Linked DNA regions of Drosophila melanogaster. The protein of the gene in region 3 interacts with the protein of the main gene of each other region in a pairwise test. Each region holds a gene or a part of one and is shown on either strand. Other genes may lie near its edges.

Evidence for each region.
Region 1: the proteins of CG14380 (region 3) and Art1 interact in a two-hybrid assay, tested with the Drosophila melanogaster proteins (one large-scale study listed by BioGRID).
Region 2: the proteins of CG14380 (region 3) and Veneno interact in a two-hybrid assay, tested with the Drosophila melanogaster proteins (one large-scale study listed by BioGRID).

The regions. Positions count from the first base shown.
Region 1 is NT_033777.3:10,785,374-10,791,376, forward strand, and holds Art1 (arginine methyltransferase 1), read right to left. Parts: upstream 2,854-6,003; 5' UTR 2,742-2,853; coding exon 2,739-2,741; intron 2,676-2,738; coding exon 2,400-2,675; intron 2,332-2,399; coding exon 2,102-2,331; intron 2,015-2,101; coding exon 1,393-2,014; 3' UTR 1,108-1,392; downstream 1-1,107. Other genes in the region: Rbp1 (RNA-binding protein 1), read left to right, coding at 30-147; Mcm5 (minichromosome maintenance 5), read left to right, coding at 3,292-3,443, 3,498-4,608, 4,667-5,488, 5,552-5,668.
Region 2 is NT_033777.3:8,358,851-8,365,622, reverse strand, and holds Veneno (veneno), read left to right. Parts: upstream 1-3,068; 5' UTR 3,069-3,148; coding exon 3,149-3,184; intron 3,185-3,241; coding exon 3,242-3,715; intron 3,716-3,941; coding exon 3,942-4,823; intron 4,824-4,880; coding exon 4,881-5,059; intron 5,060-5,116; coding exon 5,117-5,322; intron 5,323-5,376; coding exon 5,377-5,528; 3' UTR 5,529-5,665; downstream 5,666-6,772. Other genes in the region: CG45263 (uncharacterized protein), read left to right, coding at 1-532; stck (steamer duck), read right to left, coding at 5,897-6,093, 6,158-6,416, 6,473-6,614, 6,669-6,772.
Region 3 is NT_033777.3:13,186,112-13,191,107, reverse strand, and holds CG14380 (uncharacterized protein), read right to left. Parts: upstream 2,590-4,996; 5' UTR 2,519-2,589; coding exon 2,468-2,518; intron 2,402-2,467; coding exon 2,222-2,401; intron 2,158-2,221; coding exon 1,882-2,157; 3' UTR 1,540-1,881; downstream 1-1,539. Other genes in the region: CG8508 (uncharacterized protein), read left to right, coding at 4,640-4,996.

The DNA of each region.
Region 1 (6,003 bases), 2.4 Mb from region 3:
TTAAATTCGAGTTATCGACACTTTTTCAGGATAACTCCTTCGGCTAGAACTACTTCCACTGCTACTTCTTCCTTCTACAACATCAACAATCTACAACAGCAACCATCTTCACAGCCACAGCCAGCAACCTTCAACTTGCAACTCTAAATTAACCATGTTCAGCGTCACAGCCTCACAGAAGTTTTGATTAGCAACCCAAATGATTTCATCCTAGAAGAAGCAATGCAGTCGCCCAAAGAGTTCTTTTTTAAAGTTATCCTGCGTATCCTTCAAATAATTGCTTACAATTATTTCTTTAATTTAGTTGCCTATGATATGAGGGTTCGTCCGCTTTCTCAAGTACTTGACTCTGATGTCGAGAAAACTGGCCTTGAACGCGTTTAACGCTGATGATCACAGCTACTATAGATTTGTTCGACCATTTTCTTATTGCATATGTATCCGACAAAGTAGAAAGCTTTAAACTCTAATTATAGGATATCAGTTGGTAATAGATAGTAAATGTAATTGCAGCAGCTAAATGTAATAGCAGCATTAGCAATAATACTCTTATCTTAATTGGTTCACAGCTTAATTCATAGAAACAAAACAGTTTGCACAGCTTTCATTTTTGTTCCCCCTGGTAATTAGTTTAAGTAACTATTTAGCAGTATTTAACACTCCTATTTTGCAGCTCTTTGTAAGGCGCGTATGTACATACACTTCTTACCATTCTAAGCTGATTTAAATAATTTTATTAAGCTTTTAAGTAATCATTTCTTCTTTACCAATGCGTTTATTTCAGGTCACGTTCGCCACGTCGCTCCCGATCGCCCCGCAGCCGCAGCTTCTCGCGCGATCGTCGAAGTCGCTCGGATTCTCGGGATCGTCATTAATGTTTCCAAAAGGATATCGTTTAAGCAGTGTCGCATCAAAGAACAAGCCGGCCAAGGCCGTATTTTCTGTAGGAATTCCTATGTCGATTGCGATCCAAGTAAATTTACTTCAGATGACAATATAAATCTTTCGATGCATTCTTGAAATTCCTTTTTTTTTTTTACTAAAAAATAAAGACGCACAATCAGCGAGTTTTGATTGGTTTCATATATCATCAAAAACAGTTTGTTTCCAGCAAAAGGGGACGTGCTTAGTGCACTGTTTATTATGTGAGAATTGACGTGCTGCTGTACAACTTGCTTAGAAGTATGTTCGAATAATAATTTAAACAGGCGCACGAGTGTAAAATATTATGTATACTAACAAAGGTACACTTTAAACTTAGGAGAAGACGCAACACGAATTCGTTGCACATTTCGCACTGGAATAAACCTTACGTCTAGTCATTGTATGTATCCTCGCTGCAGGGCTCTGAGCCCCATCCCAAATGGCAGATCGGATTGGTTATGGCTGCCCCTAGCGCATGCGGTATGTGTTCGACTCCTGAATTTGAGACAATTCGCCCTTGAAATTAATGTCGATGACGAAGTCCAGGTCACGGTTGTTCCGCTCGTTGGGCTTCATCTGGAACGTGCCAGTGATCTCCTCGTTCTTCTTTGCCGTCATGTGGTCATCGAGGTAGAACACGGTTTGCTTCCAATGCGTGTATGTGGAGTCTGGTGACGTACTGAACCCAAGACGCTTGTGGCACTTGGTGAACTCTATATTAAAGTAGGTGACTAATGCCTGCACGAAGTCGTTGCGCTTGATGCATAGGCTGAACTTGGACGAGAAGTTAAGATCGGCCTTTTGCACGGTATACAGATCCACCTCCTTGACCATGCAAGATGTGGATACCACTTGCTTGGGATCGACCACGTCGACCAGTGGCTCGGTCACGGCCACCTTACGAATGCAGCTCATGTCGAAGCCGTAGACATCGTCCCACCAGTTGATCTTCTCGTCCTTGTACTGTCTGTCCTCGATGGCCGTGATATACAGCGTGCCCCTATCTGGGAACATCATGCCGTCCTTCTTCAGCCACTTGTCCCGAGCGTACAACACTGTATCCAGCATGGATTCGTAGAACAGGCAGTAACTAAATTAAGGAAAGAAATTAAAATGGTTAATATGCTAAATCAAATATGACCACTTTTTAAAAGCTTAACTACAAATGAAAACCTACCCCATCCACTCGGAAATAATAATGTCCACTCCCTCAATACCATTTGGAAGCTCAATCTCCTCAATCTTGCCCTTGACAACCGTGATTACATCCTGCAGATTGTTGTCAATGACCACTTGGCGGGCAAACTCAATGATGTTGGAGCAGTCGACGGCAATCACCTGAGCAGCACCGGCTTTGGCAGCGAACATGGAGAGAATGCCGGTACCGCAACCCACGTCCAGTACGGTCTGCAAAGAGGAGATACCCCGGTGAGAAGGGCTACGAAAAATGGGGAAACCCCGGAAGTTAACCCTACCTTGCCCTGAAACAGATGCTTGTTGTGGTACATGGCGTTGCGGTATGTGACGGTGCGCACTTCGTCCTTGAGCATCTCCTCGTGGATCCCGAAATGGGCATAGGAGTCAAAGTAATAGTCGCGGGACGTCATCTCGTCGGCGTTGGCATTGGGATTATCACCGGTGGAGCCCTCCGCGGGCAGCTTCTTCGCCACATTGTTTGAGTTCGCATTTGAATTGGGCGTGATGCCGGTCGCCGATTCCACAGCTGCCTCCATGGGAATGTCTGTGCTGGCCTGCGAATCGGGTTCGTCAGCTACTGGCCTGTCGATTGCCGTCACATTTTGACCAAAACTTACCATTTTCTAATTTCTTCGGCGTCTCTTTGGTTTTTCACGTCGAAAAATTGGCGACTAAATGATGGGACTGTTTCTACAGCACGCTAGTTTAAAAGGTCGCTTATCAACACTGCCCCCGCACAAAAGCTGGAAACAAATATCGCCAGCTCGATATTATTGGATTTTTCTGAAATTTTAGTATTTTTGAGCTGGGAAGAATTGGAGTCAGTTGTCTAAGGCATGTTCCATATAATCGAGTAAAATAATCTTTGTCATAACATCAATAAGATATAATAAATACGTTCATGGTTTATTAACTGCTGCAATGCTTGTTGTATTGGTCCTATTTCACTGCTAACAAAAATACATAAACTGGGAAACACGTTTCATCGATAGTTGTAAATAAGATCCGATAGTTTTACTGGTAAGTGCTCATCTCTAGCTACCGCTTGCCCGGTAATTTTGGCGGCAAAATATTCGCACATCGCATTTACTAAAAAACGAAATATAAAGCGAAGCAGAAGTAGCGTCTATTACCTCAGTTCTTCTTTTTAACTTTGTTTACCCTATCAAAATGGAAGGCTTCGACGATGCGGGTGTGTTCTTTTCGGACAATTTCGGCGGAGATAACCAGCAGGATGCGCAAATCAACTTGCAGGCGGTAAAGAAGAAGTACAAGGAGTTCATCCGGACATTTAACGAGGAGAACTTTTTCTACAAATACCGGTAAGTGAACTGCATCTCCTCATCTGAACCCCATTTAAGGTAATCCCCCTGCAGTGACACCCTGAAGAGGAACTATCTTAATGGTCGCTACTTCTTGGAGATTGAGATGGAGGATTTGGTGGGCTTCGATGAGACCTTGGCTGACAAGCTGAACAAGCAGCCGACGGAGCATTTGGAAATCTTCGAGGAGGCTGCCCGGGAGGTAGCCGACGAGATCACAGCTCCCCGGCCGGAGCACGAGGAACATATGCACGACATCCAGATTCTTCTGAGCTCCAATGCGAATCCCACCAACATACGACAGTTGAAGTCGGACTGCGTATCCAAGCTGGTTAAGATCGCCGGAATCATTGTCGCAGCCTCAGGAATAAGTGCCAAGGCTACGCGGATGTCTATCCAATGCCTGTCCTGCAGCACGGTCATACCGAATCTCAAAGTGAATCCAGGTTTGGAGGGCTACGCCCTACCCAGGAAGTGCAACACGGAGCAGGCGGGCAGACCCAAGTGCCCGCTGGACCCCTTCTTCATCATGCCGGACAAGTGCAAGTGCGTCGATTTCCAGACCCTTAAGTTGCAAGAGCTCCCCGACTTTGTGCCACAGGGTGAGATTCCCCGCCACTTGCAGCTCTTCTGCGATCGCTCGCTCTGTGAACGCGTGGTGCCCGGCAATCGCGTGCTTATCCAGGGCATATACTCCATTCGCAAGGTGGGCAAACCCTCGCGTCGGGATGGTCGCGAGAAAGCCGTCGTTGGAGTCCGTGCTCCTTACATGAGGGTGGTGGGCATCACCGTCGACTCAGAGGGTGCGGGTGCCATCTCCCGATACAGCAACATCACATCCGATGAGGAGGAGCACTTCCGGCGAATGGCCGCCTCTGGGGACATCTACGAACGTCTCTCACAGTCACTGGCGCCCAGCATCTTCGGCTCTCGGGATATCAAGAAAGCTATAACTTGTATGCTTTTTGGCGGGTCTCGTAAGCGTTTACCGGATGGTCTGTGCCGTCGAGGCGACATTAACGTCTTACTGCTGGGAGATCCTGGTACTGCCAAGTCACAGTTGTTAAAGTTTGTGGAGAAGGTGGCACCCATAGCAGTCTACACTTCGGGCAAAGGCTCCAGTGCGGCTGGTCTCACGGCTTCGGTTATGAAGGATCCTCAAACGGTGAGAAAAAACATTGCACACCTAATCCTTACAAATTAAATGATACATTAATCTTTAGCGTAACTTTGTCATGGAGGGTGGAGCCATGGTGCTGGCCGATGGAGGCGTGGTTTGTATTGATGAGTTCGACAAAATGCGAGAGGATGATCGTGTGGCCATTCACGAGGCCATGGAACAGCAGACAATATCCATTGCCAAAGCCGGCATCACGACCACCTTGAACTCACGCTGTTCGGTCTTGGCAGCTGCCAACTCCATTTTCGGTCGATGGGACGACACCAAGGGCGAGGAGAACATTGACTTTATGCCCACAATTCTCTCCCGTTTCGACATGATTTTCATTGTAAAGGATATTCACGATGAGTCGCGGGACATTACGCTGGCCAAGCACATCATCAACGTGCATCTGAGCTCTAACAAGTCAGCGCCTTCAGAGCCGGCTGAGGGTGAGATATCGCTGTCGACGTTCAAGAAGTATATTCACTACTGCCGAACTCATTGCGGTCCGCGCCTGAGCGAAGCTGCCGGCGAGAAGCTAAAGAGCCGCTACGTGCTTATGCGCAGTGGAGCCGGCCAGCAGGAGAAGGCATCTGACAAGCGGCTAAGCATTCCCATCACTGTGCGTCAGTTGGAGGCTGTCATCCGCATTTCGGAGTCGCTGGCAAAGATTCGTTTGCAACCGTTCGCCACAGATGAGCACGTGAACGAAGCACTTCGACTTTTCCAAGTGTCTACCCTTGATGCTGCGATGACTGGCAGCTTGGCTGGAGCCGAAGGATTCACGACCGAGGAGGACCAGGAAACACTCAACCGCATCGAAAAGCAATTGAAACGTCGCTTTGCAATTGGATCTCAAGTATCGGAGCAGAATATCTTACAGGTAAGCACAGAAGTCTTATGAATCGAATGAACAATTTTTATTTATAATGCTTGCTTTTCATAGGACTTTTTGCGTCAGAAATACGAAGAACGCACGGTAATGAAGGTAATTCATACCATGATCCGACGTGGAGAGCTGCAGCACCGGATGCAACGGAAGATGCTCTATCGAATTTGCTAAACACTGTTAATCACTTCATTTCTTGTCCATCGTTGAATATGTCTTCAATCATTTCGTCACATTATTTGTATTTCCATTTATAGTATTAAGATAAACTACATTCTTTCCCAATAAACCAAATTGAATCATTATTTTATTTATTCAAATTCTGTTAAATATTTGAACAATAATTCAGTGATGTATTTAATAGCTAGAAGTTTACAGAATAGATACTCTGATACTTGTAGTGGGAAATCCTAGGTATTTCAAGTGCATAAGTCAGTCGAGCCGGCAGACTATATGTTTGGTAAATATTTATGATTGTTTACATTTAAAAAATGAGATTATAAGCAATG
Region 2 (6,772 bases), 4.8 Mb from region 3:
CGAGGACGAGCATATGCTGGTCAGCCTGAGCGAACTTGATGACGAGGTGTTCGCCAGCCGAGCGCAAACGGCCTCGACCACACCCACAGCCAGTGCGGGAATGGGAGCTGGACGAACGCCCAAACACAGCACGCCCCAGTTAAACCACAACAAGTATACGGCTCCATCGCCACCTCGCTCCCGCACTCTTACCAATCTCTTCGAGCGTTTGAAGTCGCAGGACAACAAGACGCTACAGAAGTACGCCGCCAATGGGGCGCTCAACAAGACAGAGGACTTCAATAGAGGCTCCACAGTTAGTAAGTCCTTTGTGCAGCATCTGAGAAAGCCCTCTCACAAGCAGAAACGAGCGCCAAGGCCACCGCCCAAGCCGCAATCCCGCTCCCAAGTGGCCATTGCCCATGTGACACCCCTCCGCAAAGCCCTGATCTTTCCGAAGCGATCCAAGTCGTCCAGCGAACTACTACTCGACGATCTGAGCGTGCAGGCGCGTAAGTATCAGCGAAGGATAGAGCAGGGATCAGCGCTGTAGACAGGAACAATGGGCACCCAGTTATGCACCTGTTTCTCACCTGTTGACCAGTTATTTGGCCTCATCTAGATATTAAATCGATTTCTTTCGCATTTCCGTTTACCCCAGAGGCGACGCTTTTGTAGAATAAGTGTGATCCCCAAACCAATACGAAAACGACCCGACCCCTACCTTCGATTCCGATCAAGACCCTCTAACCGAACCCGAATCCGATGTAGATGTGGAACAAGTGCAGCTATCCCGCCGCCATAATGGAAGACAAAGATACGACCCGAAGCAAGCCCAAAGAGAATTAAGCCATACGAGGAATAGCACCCAAAAGAACTAAACTAATTTCGTAATTTACGCATAGTTACATTAAGCCAATTACTCGAAACTGCATGAAAATCAAATCAAAAGATGACTAACCATATTTATAAATACAACCATATATAAATATACATAAACATTATTGTACAAATAGGATCGAAGATGTACCGAGAGCTATGGTTAGATATGGAAATAAAAATCAAACGACAATTCATGCTCTCAACCTAGTTATTTACGAGTACAAGTTTGTCTCTTCAATTATAATTTGAATTCATCTAAAGAATATACCATACAAGCCCGATATACATCTATACATTATACGGATATTTATAGCATATACCTGCGTCACTTGTTGTAACTTTTAGGATAATTGCAAGTCAAAGCAAAAGTAAACCAATTACAAAAGGAAACATTACTAACTCTTACCTGCATGCAATAAAGAATTTCAAAATGCAAAACTGAATAGTGTACTTTCTGGGTTAGGGATATATTAAGCATAACTGATTTTCTTACAGTCACTGTTCGTAATTTCATCTAAGAAGGAAGACAATGCTGGAAAAGGAATTCGGGAACGGTATTTAGTAAAAAAAAAAGCAGTCAGAACGCATACCAAACTTACAGACACCTAAGGCCTCACAGTATAGGGAAACAACTCTCAAAATCGTCCCATGGCACTTCATTTGGCAACAAAGTGATAGCCAAAGTGGTAGCGGTCGCTGTCCTGATCTTTATCCGATGTATGAAGAGCCTTGGAATGTGCAAAACAAATCGCTGTGGGCCCACCTTGGCATTAAAAGAAGCTGCCTAAGTCACTAATAAGGCTGCTTATATCTGTTACCTTGACCGCGATCAGAGATCATTGGCCCAAATCGGCAATCTGCAACTTATCACTGTCCCGTTTCATGACGCAACGCGTGTTTTCGGAGCTGTCCCGCCCGTGTAAAAGGTTTTTCGCACACTTGGCAGCGGTGCAGGCGTTCGCCGGTATGGATCCGCTCGTGAATCTTGAGGACTCCCAGTTGGGCGAAACGTTTGTCACGATGCTGGCAGGCGTAGGGTCTTTCGCCAGTGTTTGTGCGGAGATGCAGCTCGAGCATGTAGACCCTGGAGAAACTGCGCTGATAGACGTTGCAAAGATGCGGACGTTCCTCCGTGTGCCTGTTAACTATGTGGCGTCGCTGATTCTACAAAACCACGCCCGCAGTGCAGGCACTTGTGCTGCAAGACCTGCTTATGGCGCCTCTGATGAACCTCCAATGCTCCATTGGTCCTGAAGGCCTTGGCGCACTGATCGCAGGTGAAGGGCCATTCGTCGGTGTGCAGGCGAATGTGGCTTGCCAGACTAGAGGCGGATTGAAGGCACTTACCGCACTCCAGGCACTTGTGCCCACGTTTGGGTGTCTTGGCATAGGAGCAATTGTGGACCTGGTAGCAACCCAATTTCGTAAAGATCCGCCTGCGCTCCCTACAGTCTATAATAGTTATTGAAGCATGTACTTCTTGGATGTGCCGACGCAGTACTTCCGATAGCTGGAAACCAGCGCCACAATGCTGGCAGTTCCAGCGTGAAACTCCAATAGGTTCATTTTCGGGATCCTCCACAGCGGAGAGCTGTTCAATATAGTCGCTGGGATCAATAATAATTATTTCCTCCGAAGCTAGGGGTTCTGCCGTGTCTATGTTTATCTCCGGAGCCATATCGCGCAACTTCTCCGACTCCACGCATATTTTGCGAAACTTGGCGGCGATGAGAAGCTCGTTGGTGCACTCCTGGCATAAATACATTGGCTGCAAGGTACACAGGTCCACTTGCATCTCCTCCACGATCTCATAGATATCCACCAGAAGTTCATCCTGTTTAAGACAAACTCGGCAACGGAATTCACCAGATGGTGGCGACATTTTCAGTTAAAAGCTTGCAAATATTTAAAAATTGAACTGCCAAATCAAATGCAGCTACCCACAATTATCGATAAGACCGATAAGCAACAAACAGCTGATTATACTAAACTACACTTTAAAGTATGTCTCATATATTAAGAGCTAACTACTTCCAAACTATAAGATAATAATTAATTATGAATATAAATATATGAATATATTTAATACTAACAGCCAACAAATATTTGTCAGTTTAACGTGTTATAAATAAATAAGTGGGAAAACGGCATTTCATTACTAATGTGCACTTCTAAGTTCCGTTAATCGGATTTCCGTATCTGGTAACACCGTGGGGCTTCAGCTGTATCATTGGAGAACTAACGCTGAAAAACTCTTCCTTTTCGATCGGAAATAAAGTGTGACAACATGCTAGCACAAAAGTCAGTTGCCGGTGCTGATGAAGTAAGAACCAACTTTTAAAAAAGTAGCCGAACACCAAAATATTGTTTTGTAATTCAGCTTGCGCAAGCCAAAGGAAAATGCGTCCATTGCGCAAACGCAGCGGAAAGGGTCTGTCAGCGCTGCGGGGACTTTTACTGCTCCAAGCATTGTCAGCGGCAAGATTGGCTACGTCATCGTTACATCTGCATCCCGCTGCCCGCGTTGGTTTCTCCCAATGAATATTCCGTGTTCCAGAGCGACAGGGAATCAACTTTGGAGGGGGCCTGTTCGTTAAACGCTGACAAATCTGTAGTTGAGGCGTCGCCAATACCCCTCAGCCGTTCACCTATTCTTCCGGATTTGCAGTGCAATAACGCCGGCCGTTCCAGCATCATTGCAGCCAAAGATGATATTCCCGTTTCTCCGCCAAAAGCGATCATCCCGCCCAGCGGTGCTATGGTATACATTACGGACTTCATATCCAGTAATCGTTGCTATATTCGCGATGCCAGCGAATCTGCTGAAAGAGCGTTTGACGAAGTTTGCAAGAAGGTTTGTTATATATGGAGTCAAATTTCTTCAATCCAAGAAAATTCCTAAATTAGAAGTAAAATGCGTGCATGATAGCAAATTCTATAAATGAATATTATCAAAGAAATAGTGTTGCGTGTAAAACTGTATACTATTTGGATACTTAAATACTAGCAAATCGAGTTTTTTTTTCTAATTCTACTGTTGACGAGACTATTTCGAATTAAAAAGTGTTGTATCTTCACAGGTTAATACCATAGCTACGTTATTGCCCAGAATAAAAAATCCACCACCAAATAGATTGTGCCTAGTCCACTTTAATGGCATGTATGTGCGAGCGAAGATGTGTAAGAAGCTCCGTGAGGTTTCCCACTTATTTTTGGTCGATCTTGGAATCAAACATTCTGGACCTTTTTTCGATTTTAAGGATATCAATGATGAGTTAAAAGCATTGCCCTGTTCCAGCCAACTGGTGCAGCTCAAGAATGTATTGAATTGTGACTATTCCAATGATGTCATTGCCTTCAACTCGAAATTCGTGGGCAAGAAATATATGGCAACCATTAAAAAGTGCCCTGGATTACACCTCGTGGAACTAGTAAACACGGAGATGAACTTTTCGGTAAATGAACAGTTAAACGCATTTTTCAACAGTAAGAAGTTGCTACGAAACCCTAATTCTGCGGCCGAGAATATCAAGTCATGTTCCTTAGAAGGTCCGCAACCTTCACATATTGATCAACCCATTGCAATTCCTGCAATCGAATGTAAGAAAATGTTAACGAAACCAGAGGTACAGAATGAGTGTGAGGAGATACTCAAGCAACAGAACTCCGGACAAATTGATCAATCAAAATCAACTAATGTACTGGTTACAGAAGGAGCCTCTAATAAGATGCTTGGCTTTATTGATCTTGCTGATAAGGCAACTAAAACTGATCAGGACACTGCACCAAAGCCTAAAGATGAAGACGTAAAACATTCCTTAACACAATGCTTAACACCAAAAGCTAATTATCCGTTACAACTTCCAAACCATAAAAAAAATTTGGAACTTCCCGTTATCCATAAAACTAATGCCCAAACAAATGGAATCGTAATGTCGAAAAACGAACATGTCCTAAAACCTGTGAGTTGATAATATAAATTCTCATTGAGAGCCACATTTTATTAATTTATTTATTAGCCTTTTGAGATGCGTAGATTTTCAATCGAATCTAAGGAAGGCATTGATCTCATCGTTGTGGATAGTACAAAAAAAAATCGAGGTATTTTTGGGGCCTTTGACAGCACCTACGCCTCCGAATTTTCCGCCTTGCACTCTCGTTTATCAGAAATTACAGACTGCGAGCCTTATAAGCCAGTGTAACTATACTATAACCATACCAATGTAAGTTTATATTTAATTAACATTTTTGACAGTGTCAGGGAATATGTGCTTGCCAGATTTGAGGGTTCCTGGTATCGTGGCAAAGTGGAACAGATTATAGTTGTTCCACGGCAGCAGACAAAGTACCGGGTAATGTACCTCGATTACACGAATGTAGAGGACATAACCGAAATGGATATCCGTCGCTATCCATTAGACTTCACCGCTCCCTGTGCCACAAACCTTTGCGTGATTGACGGTATGGATATTAAACATTTGTCTTGAGCATAACATTTGAACAAACACTTTATAGAATTCCCGCACAACCCGAATGCAGCACAGGTTTCCTATCTGGCTGAGGTTTTGAAGGTCCATCAGTCAGTTCATATTGATAGTATCAAATATATCAACCATATAGCCGTAATTAAATCGGGAAGTCTTATTCAGAAGCTGTTGAGCTTGTAAATTTTAAGTGCATCAAATGCCATTTACTTGACACCACAACTAAATCGGGTCAAACACATTACGAAGTTATTGCGAATAAGCATTACGTTTTATAATTTTAAAAACATTTATATATAAATAAAATTCCATTAAATAACAACGTTAAAGGCTTTTAATACACAATGTTATGTTCCCTAGCTATTGATGCCGTTGATTCTCGATTTAAAATTTAAGTTACACACAACCGGATTACAACAGACGGAAAGGACATGCACAAGAGGTTTTAGTTTGTTTGGTTTTAGTTTCTCAAATGTTAAAAATGGTAGTGAAAGCGGGTCTACAACGACAAAGGCACTGTTTGGTGTGGATCTGAGACTCGCTCCAAGGCATTAGGTGTTCTTTTTCATTGTCATCTCGTGGGCGGTGCGCAGACGTCGTCTGAGTTCGTTTGGAAATCGGTCATAGCACTTTTTGCACACCGGCTTCTCGTCGTACTCGTAGAATTTCGATTTTTGTGTCATCTTCGTGTCGCACACGGAGCACGCAAAGTGGTGCACACACCAGGCCTTGTTCAAGGCAGTGAAAACTGTTGGCATTATGGAATGAGCGCATTAAATAAACCCAGAATATAGTTCAATTAAGTTACTCACCATCGCCTCCAATAACCTGGTTGCAGACGAAGCACAGGTTGCCAAAGAGCTGATGATAGTGCGTCTCGCAGTAGGCCAATCCCCGCTTCTCGTAGTGTCGGTGACCCAAGAAGGGTTTCTCGCACTTGGCGCACACGAAATGTTCCACATGCCAGTGCTTTCCGAGCGCCGTTACCACCCTCTCCTCAATCGGACGACGACAGGCACCACATATGGGAATGCCCATTTTATCGTGACAACGCAGACAATACAGTTCGTTCTATAATGGAATAATAATTCAGTTGCTTCTTATTTGCTAAAGAAAAAAAAACCCACCATATCGTTAGCAGCCAATCCTGGCCGGCTCTTGACCTCCCGAGCAGTGGAATCCAACTCTGTGCCGCAGGCCGTGCAACTGAAGTGATAGCCGTGGTACACTTCGCCCCGGAATCGCAAAGGCTCCTCGTCGATGAGGCCGCTGAAAAGCAGAGTAATTAGCAACATGTTTTCACCTAAAGCCTTTGAAACCTACTGGCATTTTTGGCATACATAGCGGCCGGTAATCTCCGCCTTCACCTTGGCATTGCACTCGTGACACAAGGCGCGGTTCTGGTTCTTGATGAATCCGCAATCAGC
Region 3 (4,996 bases):
TTGTGAGCTGAGTACATAATTAAAAGAAAATAAAGCGCGGGACGGTCCAAATAAACCCGCCGACAGGCGTTCGCACACATAACAATGACAATAATAATAAAAGTGAAGTTTCATAGCGAAATTACACACTCGAACAGAATTAAATAAAGAACTATTACGCAGTGGTGTAAAATAACCTGTTCTTGTTCTGAATAAAAAACAAGCGGGAGTGTTGCGTGGTAAAATATAATGAAATTTAAGTTTTTAAGACCATCTATAAAATATTTTTAAAGTACTATAATTATATGGTAATGCGTAGCAAAGTATTTCCGAAGCTTGTGGACACACCGTGCGCTTTTTACTTACCCAGTGAAATAACAACTAGCGGAAAATAATGCATATTAATAGCGACTTTTTCACATATTACACAACTGCCGACATTTATCAGGCATTAATAATTACGTGTTAATACGTGAAATATGATTAAATTTTTATCAGTTTACATGAATCACTTTCGCACGTTTGCGTGCGAACAAGGACATTTTATTGGCTTCATTTGGCGACGGACCGCAGAGAAACTGACGTTTGCCCAATCGGAATTACAATCGCAATGCCAGTGGTTCTGCGTCATTTGGCATCCTATATCCCTGTCCACAAAGCGAATCCTTTAGCCTGTCCATTTGCCTGCTGTGAGTGGAGGGGCGTAATACACTGCGTATACGTAATGGGGGTGCCCCAGCGTATACGCAATAAAAAGTGGTAAAGCCGAGCGATGGCACAAGGATAACCGCCTGCGCTGGCCATTAAATGCAACAATAAATTCGGCAGTTCAACTCCAGTCAACTTCGTTGGCATGCCCGAAATTTAATTAGTTGGCATTTAACATTAAGCATTTCCACTGGCGCCGCGGCTGTCATTGGGCTTTGTTTTCGTTTTGCTTTTTATGTTATTTTTCAGTTAATTAAACGCACGCCAACATCTCGCCATTCTAAATTGTGCGCAATTAAATTTGGAATTACTTTCAACTGAGTATTCGCGTAGCTCTCGCCAGCGGCGCGGCAATAACTTAACTTGAAATTTTATTGTAAGCCCCTGCCTTGCCAACTGTCACTTTTGATGGGCAGCCATTGGAGCGTAATTAGGCTACTACAACGCTCCTAAAAACCCCTACCCAAATTACCAACCCCTTCTCACTACTTGTGCCAAAAAGCTAACTTTAACTTTTCCAGCTTGGCAAGCCTTTAAGTTCGTACCTAACTTCGTTTGTCTGATGCTCGAAAGTGCACTGTCTGCCGGCTTCATTATGCAAAATGCAATGGTACACAAGCCGATGTGAAGAGGCTGCTTGTCTCCCTTATGAGTTGCACTGTTCAGACTTATCCTGGCCAGAATGGTATTTTTTTGGGCCCTGATGGTGCCCAAGCACTCACACATACACTGCATACACTGATGGCATTTTCATAATCGAGAAAAAAAGGTACCGAAAATGTATGTAATGCCAAATTATTAAGACCCAGAATGAGTAAAAATCTTGGAAAGAAAGAAAATTTCAAACTTCAACCCTATTAACTAACATTTATTACATAGAATTACAAAAATATATTGTATAATTATTCTCAAGGCAGGGCATGCCCACTGCGACTTGGATAAACAATAACAGAGATTCTCTTACACTCGTATATGTTTTTCATATCACCTGCGAAGAAAGCACACACACAGAATCGGTGTGTCATGAGTGAAAAAATAAAGGAGGTGAGCAGTTCGTGTCTGTCTGTGCCAAACGAGGTACGAGTGCAATATTTATATTATTGCAGCTACGGCGCCACATTGCAGCGACATGAAATGTTTGGCGTTGCATAAAAACCAAACTTAATGTGCACTCCCACGGGAATGAGGATGAGTTTATTGCTTTTGCGACTCGAGGTAACGCATTCTGTCCCGTTTGTGTCTTCTATGGGACTGAATGATTGTCACAATGAGTAACACCATGATCACGATCAGGATCACCACGCTGATGGCCGACATGCTCAAACTGACCGATTTGGAGGCCATTGCAAAGCTGCTAAAGAGGAAAATTAGTTCCATGGAATCTCCTAGCTTTGAAAATGAAACGCCGGTTAGGAAGTAGTAGGTAGAAGCGCAGTTAAACAGTATCATAATCAAAATCATGGCCACCAGCTGCAAAAATGGGATATTTAAATGTTCGAAATTAGACTTCACCTCCATTTGGCCGACCACCCACCACCAATCGCATGTGCAGACGGGTCCTGGAATAATTCGAGTGGTATAACCAGGTGCTCATGGCGTAAATCAGGCAAATGTAGGCAGTTCCCACGCAGACCACTTGATGGCCCAGCTGCTCATAACTGACGTGGAGGGGCAGGACGTTCCCAAACACCGACGCGTTCAGCACGGAAATGATCTGCGGAGCAGATGACTGGGGTGAGTCACAAGGTCAGATATTAGATGGCAGTCAGGTGCAACTAACCGCCGTGAGGAATAGCAATAACGATACGATTTCCTTGCGGGAGAGTAACATAATGGACGTAACTGGTAATTTAAAAATACTGCAACAGTTACTGATGTTTAACTCAAGGATTGATAAGTCATTTTCTACTACTCATTTTTAATGTGTATTATTCCAACAGGAATGATGGAGTAATTTTAGGTGCATCCGTTTGGTGAATTGCCAATCCCCTGCTGTTGTAGCTCTGTTCTCACTTCATATCCTTTCGAACAAGGTCGTGTTCCCGTCTTCCTAGATTGCCGGCCTATTTGATGAGCGCAAAATCATCGAGAACAAATTGAAATTTGCACCCATCGTGGAAGCTTATCTGCGCCACGCAGGCACTTGCAATGCCACCCATTCCACACAAATGGGAGCGGCAGGCAGCCGGCGCTAATTCATCAACAGTAAAGGCAATTTAGATACTCATCTACCGGATATCGACAGCCAGGCAGCCGGCAGAAGGCACAAGGCAGCCATGTAAGCAGATACCCTCGTCCTGTTCCGAGGACTCCAACCCATCCATTCCGGCGGCTGAGAGCAGCGCGGAGCGTTCTGCAGACAGGGTTTCATAAAATATTGATGGACGTGAAGTTGGCAGCGCATACTCGCTTCCTGTTCCGTGTCTGTCGCAGCCATAAATAATTTGCTGTAAATGCAATCGTGGGGTTACGTGGGGCATGGCATGGGCTACCCTGTGGTTCGAAGTGGGCGCTTTGGGTGCCAGTGGGTGGTGGGAGGTGGGTGGTCATCCGACGGTGGGGGCAGTGGTACGATGCTAATGGCAAGGCGCACGGTGCGAAAGTGTTTCGTATGAATTATTCGCCGGCAGCCAATTTGGAGTCACGTTTGCCAGCACAATTGAAACTGAACACCAACCATCGAACCACCGGCCATAGTGTCAATCCAGTGCTGGCGATTGCAGATAAGAATAAATAGCTATTTCAAAGGGAATCTCGAGTATATATAAAATGAAGAAAGCTTTGGTTATCTAGCTGAATGCAAGGATCGATTGTCTTATTAAAATTGATCAATAATTGTTAAAGACATAATCAGAATTTTTAGAGCAAATAAAGAAACGTGAGAATATTATAATTATTTTGTTAAAATTCAGTTTTATGGATATGGTAAATGTCTTACAAATATATTTGGCTTCTAATCTCTATACATAATATCCTTGATATTCTTAGCTAATAGCTAAGGAAAGTCTATTTCAACAGCACTGCCTTCCTGTTGTGAACCGCCTGTCGAAATGGTGTAATTTGTTATGTCTGCCACTGTAGCCGACCATGTCTATCTTCGGCCCGGGCTGCTTTTTAATAGCCATTCTCCTGCTGGCCGACTGTTGCTCGGCGGTTGTTGTGCCTTTATCGCCGGACTGCCTCCACTCCACCGTCGCCTACTCCTGCTCCTGCTCCTGAGTTCGTCCTGCGCCGGCAGGGTAATGTGTATTTAATGACGCCATCTCATGTACAATGCCCGTATCCGTTCTGCCATGATCCTGGCCTTGTCGACGGACACCGGTTGTCCTCCAGCGCCTAATGTCCAGTGACCGCAGCCATCTGCAGGATAATGCCCCGGCTCCTGGTCGACGGGTGCCAATAAAGCTGCGCCCGCTGGCAGGCATTTCAATTTCGTGCCTGCCCTGCTTTTTTCAATATTTTTAAACGGCAGCCATAAAACGTGAGCGGTAATGTGCGGACAAGGCTGTTTAATTGTACCCCTGCCCTCAGGGCAATCAGCAACTGTTTGTCTCAGATTACGATGGTAAGTCTCTCGATGTGTTTAAACAATAATTGAATTTAAGTACGTTCTCCAAACAATAGAATAGAAGCCCAGAAGAGCAATTCATATCTTGAAACCAGTGCACTGGCAAACTAGTTTGACATGTATGTTCGCCAAAAATTCTTAAATATTATATACTTAATGAGATACAATAGGGTTTTTGGTAATTTTGGGCAACCAAGACATACAGTATCTTTATAAAATCAAAAGGAAATTATGATAACTAAACTTTTATACACAGCTTCCATATCTAGTGATCTTTATTTTCTAGTCATTATCGCAATCTTATTATTATCACTCCGAATATCATCATATTTTTTTTGTGTACATTACTAATATATATTATCCCTAAATCCGTACAGGGCAACGATGAGTCTAAAGGATCTCAATCTGACCAAGGAGCAAATGATCAAGCTTCAGCAGTTGCTGGCACAGGAAATAGAGGACGAAAGCCAGCAGGAGCGGAATGAGCTATCAAACGATGATTTCATAGCCAATGCACTGGATAAAGTGCAAGTTTATGTGGAGGCTGGTAAGCCAGAGGCTTTTGTCCAGCTCAAAGAACCGCTATTATACAAATTTAAGATTACCTCAAATGGAGTAGCTACTGGATCTTCGGAATCGGATAAGTTTCAACGCGCAGACGCCAAGGAAATTGCTCGCTGGAAATCTGACCATGTAATAAATTTGGATTGCATTTCAGACGAGGACTACGAGCAGTTAAGC